Linked DNA regions of Tribolium castaneum. The protein of the gene in region 1 interacts with the protein of each later gene in a pairwise test. Links are inferred from orthologs where the notes say so. Each region holds a gene or a part of one and is shown on either strand. Other genes may lie near its edges. The genes, in order: Lztr1 and Grip75.

Region 1 (4,319 bases):
ATGTAATTTCGTAATTGTTTACTCGATTAGTGAATTATTATAAAAAATGGCATCGATTCGGACATATTTACAGCGAATTATCACAAAAACCTGCTTCATGCACCCGAGATTATACAACGTGAGTCTAGTTCATTTTTTCTTGAGCATACCTAACCTCACATTTAGTCGCCCCAAATCAGAAACTCCAGCTTCCACTCGAGTAAATTCCTCGTGGACGTCGAGGTTAACACGAAGTATGAAACGACTAAAAACCCCGAAGAATGGAAATACGTTGAGGGACTCCTCCCAGTGACTACAGTCCCAGAACCTAAGAAACTACCAATGTATGCTTCAGGCTGGAAGCCCCAAGGAGACGACCTCAAAGACCGGCCTTACTTCATTGCGAGAACTCGCAACCACATGATGCCCGTGTATTTGGAAATCCGTCAAAGGGGGACCGCTAGACACACTATTATTAAAAAGATTCAGGGCGATATTTGGCAGCTGGAGAAGGACTTGCGCCCCTTTTTGGAGGATTTACTCAAACCGAAGAATCTGCGACTGCAAGTCAACGAATTCGCGGGTAAAATTTGCATAAACGGCGACCACGTAAACGCAATAAAATACTGGTTAGGTGAAAGAAATTTTTAATTAAATAAATTGAGTACATTTGTTTTTTAATTTGGTGCTCAAAAAAATCACATTAAGTACAACCATCGGTGAAGCTCGCCGAGGATGACACGTCCTGGCATTTTGACTCGCTCAAATCATTCGCAAGAGCCATCAAAATATCCAAAATTAATTCTTTACTCAACATTCGTAATCGCGGCAATTTCGCCACTTTAGTAAAGTGGTGGACGATCAAATCAAGAGCGTATTTTTTCATGTCGGTGGCTTGCATACCGTCGGCGGCTTCCAATATCTGTATCACATTCTCAAACGAGACGTTCATTTCTAAATTCTGTTTGCAAAACGCCTGGAGCCTGTTGTTGGTAAAACTGTAGAATAAGGGGGCTGAGAAGAGGTACAGCGAGTCTTCGGGGGGCATGTTCACGTCCCCGCAGTAAACGAACCGGAGGAGGGAGTGGAATGATTGGAGCGACGGAATCATTTCGCCGATTTGAATCTAAAAATAAAAAAATATTGAGGACTAAAACTAGATCCAAAATCACTCAATTTGTTGAAAATATGGAGAATTAAATACTATGGCGCTGAACGAGGTACATAATAAATCGATTTTCAACGGACAAAAATTTTGTAAAAATGAGGCGTTTTAAACATTAAACGGTATCATGATTTGTTTGGAAAAATTCTTAATATGCTGACAAAAACTGGCGATGAAAATTTGCACAACAAACATGAAAATACAATTTTTAATCTGCCCTCCATTTCATACTTATCAAAAGGGTGCCAAAACGGTTAAAAATACACGAAAAATGTAAAAAAGGAACTTGTAGAGAATTAAATTTTCTATAAAATGGTCATGATTTCAATCATTTGCAATTTTATTGCACAACAACTTTAATAAATGCATCAAAATAGAATAAATAGAAAAACGATGTAAATTTAATGGATTTTTGTTTTTTATCGCTCAACTCAACTTCAACTCGCGTTTTTCCACTTCTATAGCGCATATTGCAGAAACTTTAAATTGCAAATACTTGGTAAGTGTTTACAGATTTCTTTTGAAAGGATTCTTGCACCAAAAAGTTATTTGAACTATTAGCTTCATTTCGTTGTGACATTTCGTAAGAATTTAGTTTTTATCTTATTTAAAGTATTTCTTATCGTGAATATTTCGCTACTCAAAGATGATTCGTTACAAGAAAACTGAAATTTCTCAGTTTTCTTTTATCAAGTCTAAAGCTTGTGTAATAGTATACGTTAGAATCTTCATTCACTGAGGAATCACTTGCAAAAAAAATAAGGTTCTAGCTTTATCCAAAAGGATGTAAACACAAAATTTTCTATTCTAAAGTCAATTAACGGTTATCTCTGTAAATGAAGATTTTATGCCTTCCAATTTTTATTTAGAAGTATTCTTGAAAAAATACTTTATTTGATCTTTTTTAACCCTCTAAATCCTCTAAATTTTGATTATTTGACTGGACTACACTATCTGTTTCAATCATTTGAAACAACGTAGATTTATCGAATATAAAGACTAATAATAAATTTATTTGGTACAAAGTCAATGACGGTGGTGTTCGAAGCTGAAAGCGATTTTAATCCATTAGCTGTTTCAAAATTATAGAAATGCCAACGTCGCATTTTCTTCAAAAGTTAGTTGTTTTCAATTATTCATGCACTGCAAAAAATTAATACCTACTGTAATTTGCAGTTTTATTGAGAGATCTAACCATTAATAACTATTTAAAACAATAATTCGGTAAAATGCAACGTTGGCATTTCTATAGTTTTGAAACAGCTAATAAACGGTTGAAGATAGAAATGTTTGAAATTTTTGTAATAAATTTAATTCTCTACAAATTCTTATTCCTTACACCTTTGACCGTATTCGCAACGTTTAACAAAAAAAACGTTTTTCGAGATAAAGATCTATCTGCCTGTATTTTTTTATTTACAAACCGTTAAATTCTTACCTTGACTTTACAATCTGTCGGCATAAAAGACCTGAAAAGCGCCTCAAAATAGCCACTTCTGGCGGCCAAAATGGGTTTATGTGCCGGAATGACGTTCCCATCTAAGACCAAATCTACGTCGTAAAATGAGGCCCCGTGTGTCTTCAAAAACATGGCCATGTCTTGTTCCAAAGTGGTCCCCGCTAACTCTCCCTGACTCTCACTCACACTTTTACTATTACTCGCCGTTTGTTTCAATCTTATTATCTCGATGATGAGTTTACTACTCAAAGATTCGAATTTTGTGGACATCACAATATCGTTGTAGTTTGATTCTTTGACGATGAAACGCAAACAGTGGTCTTTGATAACGTTCAGTTTTAAATTATGCGCAGTCTCAAGGGCTTCCAAAACATTGGCCATGTTAATAGAAGAGTTTAAATACTGGACGCACAAATTGTCCAGACGGACCATTCCGAACTCAACCGCCAATCGATAAACGTCCATCATTCGTAAAACTGTCTCGGTTGCTGCGCCCCCTTTTTTCGTGGGGTCTATACAATCCATGTAAATGTAATCCAAGACTAGTTCAAACGCTTCCGGATTCGCATCTGGAAACTCAATTTCGACCAAAGGAACCTCCTTAAAGGGAACATTAACCGTTCCGAATAATTTCTCCAAGTGACTATCACGTTTCGCTTTATTTTTTTTCAAAATCTGTCTTAAATGCGCCGACCTTGCGGCCACTATCGCCATGTGGCCAAAAATCTTCTTCGAGTCAGGCCCCACTAAAAACTGGACGTCGTAAAACTCATTCGTTGACAACAACTTCCCGAAGTCTTCGTGTAAAGTACATTTGGGGTAACAAGAGAATTGGAATCGGTACATTTCGCCACTGCGCACATTATTATCAATGGTGCCTCCAAAGACAAACATAGCGTCGTCCACAACGGCCGCAGCGTGAAAAAGTCTCCCCGAAGGAACAAAGGACTCAGCCGCTGGTAAAATCGTGGACCACGTCTGAGAGTCCAAATCGAAACAGTGGAGATCATTTGAAAGAGTGCTATCGGCAGCACCCCCAAAGACATACAAATGCCGGTCGAAAGCCACCATCGTGTGGCCGTAGCGCCGGGCAGGGGGCGGCGGGGCCCCCCTCAAAATATGGTCGGTGGTAATCCGAGTCCAGCTACAAGGTTATTTATTACCGGGGGTTGTAATGGGTATTTCAAAATTTACCGCCCGCAAAAAAAAATACCAAAAATACCAAGGCATTACGGTTTTTTATTTCGAGATGTTGTTTCTGTGTTGGCTAGTAATTGCCTTCACTGATATTGAGAAATTTATATAAATAATGTGAGCATATTTTGAGAATAAAACTTTGCTTTGTTTTTCAGTTGTGCGACTTTTTGTACAATTACTATACATTTTTTTTAACTCACAATTCAAATACTTTGTTTGCCACAAAATTAATCTCATATTCACATATTAACATTAGCATTAACACATATTAACATAAACGTATTTATTTAACTATATTTTACAAATCTAGCTCAGTTACATAACAAACATAAAACACATAAAAAATCGGGTTTTTATGAAAAATAATTAGGAACGAATTTGTGTATTGAAATTTTCACACATTCTTATTTCCAAGAAACTAAATACTAAAATTTAAAAAGCAAATTAGGCAAATAGATGTATTAGTTGTTTCAAAACTACAAAAATGCCAACGTCGCATTTCCTTTCAAAATTAGCTGT
Region 2 (4,538 bases), on another chromosome or scaffold:
AATAATAACCTAAACACAATTACGAAACATTCCACGAATAAGAAAGTCAGAATAATTGCATTTTCTCAAGAAATTTACAATAAAAACTTGGATCAAATGACCATTCCTAGACAATTTTATCATTCATATCGCATTTATGGCTCAAATACCAAGAGCCTTGAGTCATGTTTACAAATTTTTTATTAAGAAAAAAAGGACCTTCTGAGCAACGATGGGATCAGAAAAGTATTGCCTGCTTAAAGTCGTAACAAAAAGGGCTACAGGCCTCAGAAATGGACTTCTGAACGACCCATTCATCATCTCCCATCTGAACATCAGAAGGATCGTCCATTTCTGAGCCCCTAACCTTGGTCTATGTTCATCGAACCCGTTTCAGGAGTGTGTCGAAACACTTGGCGCCACCTATTTCCCCAAAAAGCAATCACTTACCAGTGGAAAAATTGCTCAATGACAGAAAAAAATGTAGAAAATAATATTTTTTTACGTAAAAAAACTGCTTTAAGTTAAGACACGTACGGATAATTGCCGACTGTCGATGTTGTAGGGGTGCACTGTGGCGGTGGTTCTCGGCACCGTCCCTTGGGGCTGCGGCATATTGTGGTCTTTGCTTCCTGGTGATAATGACGGCGTTGGTACGTTGCTCAAGGAACCCCCTTGCCTGTGAAAAGCGGGTTAGAACCAAGGGGGCGACCGAACGCTGCCAACTCACTGTTGAATACTTTTGTACAAGTCTCTGATTTTCTGATGAATCGGATGCGATCGCACTCTAAGGAGCTCTAAAGCCCTCTGTTGAAGCTCGGTTTTTCTTCCTGACTTATTCCGTCCAGCAAAACCCAATAGCATCTGCAGTTCGGACACCCGAAACGTAATTAGCATATTCTTGAACAAAAACAAAGATCAATTAACGCGCTCAAGGGGGCCCTGGCAACTGAACAATGCAAGAAATTAACGCACGATAAGCTGAAACAATGTGCAACTATCGGCCAATTACACAAACACCAACATGGTTAGGTGGAAAGGGGGCGCTTACCCGCAACTCATCTATGTTTTCTGACATTTCCTGTGGCTGATCCAGTTTGAGATCTCCTCTAACGTCACTTCAACCATTTAAACAAATGAATAACACGGCTTTTTGTCAAACATCAAGTGAGCTAGCGTCCGATCGTCAATTCAAAGCCTACCCAATAGGGCGGTTTCAGGGGGTTAAAAGAACGCCCCACGCACTTCTGGCACACAGATTTGGGCTATTTTTCGTGGCGTCACTTCGAAATGCACGATTTTTGCCAAAATAACAAACCAACAAACGATTTCACATAAGGGACTGCGCGCTGCCAACACTACAGCGCGAAAGCGAAAAGCACCAACACAAAAGTTCAAATCTACGACAAGAGAAAACAATCGCAAATAATTTAGTTACTCCAACTGTTGTTAATTCAAATTGTTATCGTTTCGAAGCAACATTATCAAAACACATTGGACACTTTTGGAAATTTATAGAAAAAAAAATGTTTTGGGTGCCACCACACAAAACTAAATATTTCTAACAATGAAAAATTTGGTGGGCAGGTTGGCAGCAATTTGCTAATTCAAAAATTGATGTTTTGAGGTTAAATAATTTTATTGGTGGTAAAAAAGGCCATAATGATTCACGAGATACTGATTAACTTGTTGCACAATTCGGACGATTCGGTATTTGTGACCGCTTTGTGGAGCCCCCTTGCAATTGTTTGTTCCAGTTGGGCAAACTTGACGAACTCCAGGAGTTCCTGCACCCGGGGGAGAAGCAACTCCTCCACCACATCATGGAAATATCCTCAAACCACAACTGGATCGTCTCATTTTGCAAAAAAATCCAGAACTGTAGTGTTGACCAACACGGTCTCTACATCAAGGCTTTTGTGAACGGTGTGCTTGATGTTTTGGGGGATTACAAGAGCGAAATTGTCAGACTGGAAGATCAGTTCTTGCAAAACCCCGAGCTCCAGTTAATTTTCATTTCAAGTTGCTTGGAAAAGTACCAAGTATTGTTCAATGTGATTATGTCGATTATTCAAGTCGTGGAGAAGGACAGGCTCCATGGGTGCCTCCTTATGGGGCGGCTCCACAAATACATCTACTGTGGCGTGGAACCTATAACCCAAGCTGCGAAAAAGTGAAATCCCACCCTTGAAAAACCACTTAAATGCGGTTTTCTTACAGGATAACTCACTGCTTCAACAGCATTTTTTACCGCCACTTGTGCAACTGGATCATTTACGGCGACTTGGTCGACCTTTATAAAGAGTTTTTCATCAGCGATGGCGAATGCTGGGACGAGGATTTCCTCTACCCTGAGCAAAACGAAGAAAGCACACTGACACGAGTTGTACGTTGAATTTTTTCGCTAACCGTTTTTTTAACAATTTTTTGCAGAAACACCGAATCAAGCGCCCACCACCTGTCCGCAAATTCACAATAGTCTGGTCTATGGTTCCGATGTTTATCACTGAAGATACGGCCGAAAGCATACTTTTCATGGGCCGAATCGTATGGATCGTCAAAAACCACCAGAAAACCAACACAGATAATTACCAAAACCTACACAAGCCTGACGTTTGGGACGGCAAAGATATAGAGTATTACAAGAAAATTCAAGCGCTCGAGACGCAAATTTTCGACCAGATGGAGTTCCAGAGAGTTATAGAGGAGTGCAGAATCAAGTTAACCAAAGTAAGGATTTTTTTCCACGATTTTTGGTAATAAACTCAATTTTTGTGCCAAAAACAGGAAGATTTCGTTAAAAAAAATATAGCTTTCACTGTACTCGTAATAATGTAGAATTTCTAGTACTTGTGGTCCGTTATGGTGGACGAGGGCGACCTAAAGGAACACTTGCAACTTATACGAGATTACTATGCGCTGGGGCGAGGCGAACTTTTCCACCAATTCATCGAAGCGGCGGAAAATCAAACCACTTCGTACAACCTCAACGTGATTTTCCTGGAAACTGCGCGGAAAATCTACGGAGAGAACGACAAGACGTACCTCAGATTCGAATTAGCTAAACTGGAAAAGACAAGTGGGGGAAACACAATTAATGTCCCCAACTAATTGATTATTTCAGGCGTGAACCCGTGGTCGAAATTACAACTCAATTTCGAAATTAGTTGGCCCCTTCATATCATCTTCAACCCAAAATCGATGGAACTGTACAATCAATTATTCTGCTACTTGTTAAGGCTGAGCAGAACTCAGATCCACTTACACAAGTTGTGGCAAGCGCACATGTCCGGGAAACAAAACATGTGTGTATTAATTAAATAATCAATCGGTTATTGTTAATTTTTGCAAATTTAGTGACCGGCGAGTGTGGACTTTACGCCAGCATTTAATTTTCCTAGTCAATAATCTACAATATTACCTCCAAGTGGACGTGATCGAGGCGCAATTTTCGCTACTTTTGAAAGCGATCGAAAACGCCAACGAATTCGAGGAGATCATCAAAGTCCATCACGAGTTCATCAGCAATTTACTCGCGAAAACTTTCATCCTGACCCCTGATAAAGTAAGTCAAGTCGGTTTTGAAATTACTTTGGTTAGACTGAATTAATTTTGCAGAGCCACACTTATCAAAACAAACACCGGTTACACCAAACTCCCGCCGTTCAGTTTAACGTCCCGAGTGAAGTAATAATTGTTGATTAAGTGTTTAATTGAACAATTAATGGTTTGTTAAAGGTTTACAACGTGATAATCCAGCTGCTGGAGCTGTGTGACAATTTCTGCGTCATTGCGTCGACATGGCAACCGCAGTTAACCGAACCGGAAGTAACCGAGTTTGAACAGTTCCAGAAACGCACCGATACCATCGTCGATTCGCTTTTGTTTATTCTGTACAAGTTACATGAACGAGCCGATGGCCAACACTTGGTCCAGTTGTTGCACCAGCTCGACTTTAATCGCTTTTTCACTCGAAACAAACCCGAGTTTAACCTAACGCAAAGAACGTAATTTATTTTTTCTTCATCACTTTCATAAATAACACCATATCTGGAATAAATTAATTAGGAGGCAAAGTTATTTCATTCGGCGACTTACTAATAAAAACAACCACAACCACAAGTAACATGATCCACATCCAGCATTTCCAGGCCCGTTTCGAGTGCTCGGCCAATTTGTTCGATTCCGCGCTCAGTTTGGAATAGTTTTGGTCGGTTAGTTGCGCCGATCGCGACACAACTTCGGTGTCTTTTTTGATAATTTTATTGGCTAGTTCCGACTGTTCTTTCAAGTTTTTGGTCAAGATGAGCATATCGTCGGTGATTTTCTGTTGCATGTTTTCGTGGAAATTCAAAACTTGGTCTAAGTCGCTCGTTTCGGGGCCTTTGCGGTGCCTCACGCCTGCAAGCTTTACTAGTACCATGAACTGTTACAAGGGGCCACAGACCTAGGAGGCTCTCCCGGAGCAATTCGGTGTCGTTTTCAGGGGGGTATTTACTTGTAGTGATCCCCAAGTCGGCCTTAATGGCTGCGATACGGCGCTGGTACGTCAGCAGGAA

What was found.
Region 2: the proteins of Lztr1 (region 1) and Grip75 interact in binary tests that used the Homo sapiens proteins (3 or more experiments, as listed by UniProt). The link is inferred for Tribolium castaneum from reciprocal best matches to the Homo sapiens genes LZTR1 and TUBGCP4.

What each region holds. Positions count from the first base shown.
Region 1 is NC_087402.1:10,246,846-10,251,164, reverse strand, and holds the end of Lztr1 (leucine-zipper-like transcriptional regulator 1), read right to left. Parts: intron 3,748-4,319; coding exon 2,583-3,747; intron 1,106-2,582; coding exon 683-1,105; 3' UTR 631-682; downstream 1-630. Other genes in the region: mRpL49 (large ribosomal subunit protein mL49), read left to right, coding at 47-118, 166-630. UniProt on the Homo sapiens protein: Substrate-specific adapter of a BCR (BTB-CUL3-RBX1) E3 ubiquitin-protein ligase complex that mediates ubiquitination of Ras (K-Ras/KRAS, N-Ras/NRAS and H-Ras/HRAS).
Region 2 is NC_087396.1:21,170,661-21,175,198, forward strand, and holds Grip75 (gamma-tubulin complex component 4), read left to right. Parts: upstream 1-1,503; 5' UTR 1,504-1,641; coding exon 1,642-1,689; intron 1,690-1,736; coding exon 1,737-2,152; intron 2,153-2,199; coding exon 2,200-2,365; intron 2,366-2,412; coding exon 2,413-2,709; intron 2,710-2,826; coding exon 2,827-3,058; intron 3,059-3,103; coding exon 3,104-3,284; intron 3,285-3,336; coding exon 3,337-3,544; intron 3,545-3,597; coding exon 3,598-3,666; intron 3,667-3,717; coding exon 3,718-3,990; 3' UTR 3,991-3,991; coding exon of another isoform or gene 3,992-4,029; 3' UTR 4,030-4,064; downstream 4,065-4,538. Other genes in the region: Su(var)2-10 (E3 SUMO-protein ligase PIAS2), read right to left, coding at 517-658, 710-879, 1,031-1,057; vesicle transport protein USE1, read right to left, coding at 3,992-4,029, 4,078-4,380, 4,427-4,538. UniProt on the Homo sapiens protein: Component of the gamma-tubulin ring complex (gTuRC) which mediates microtubule nucleation.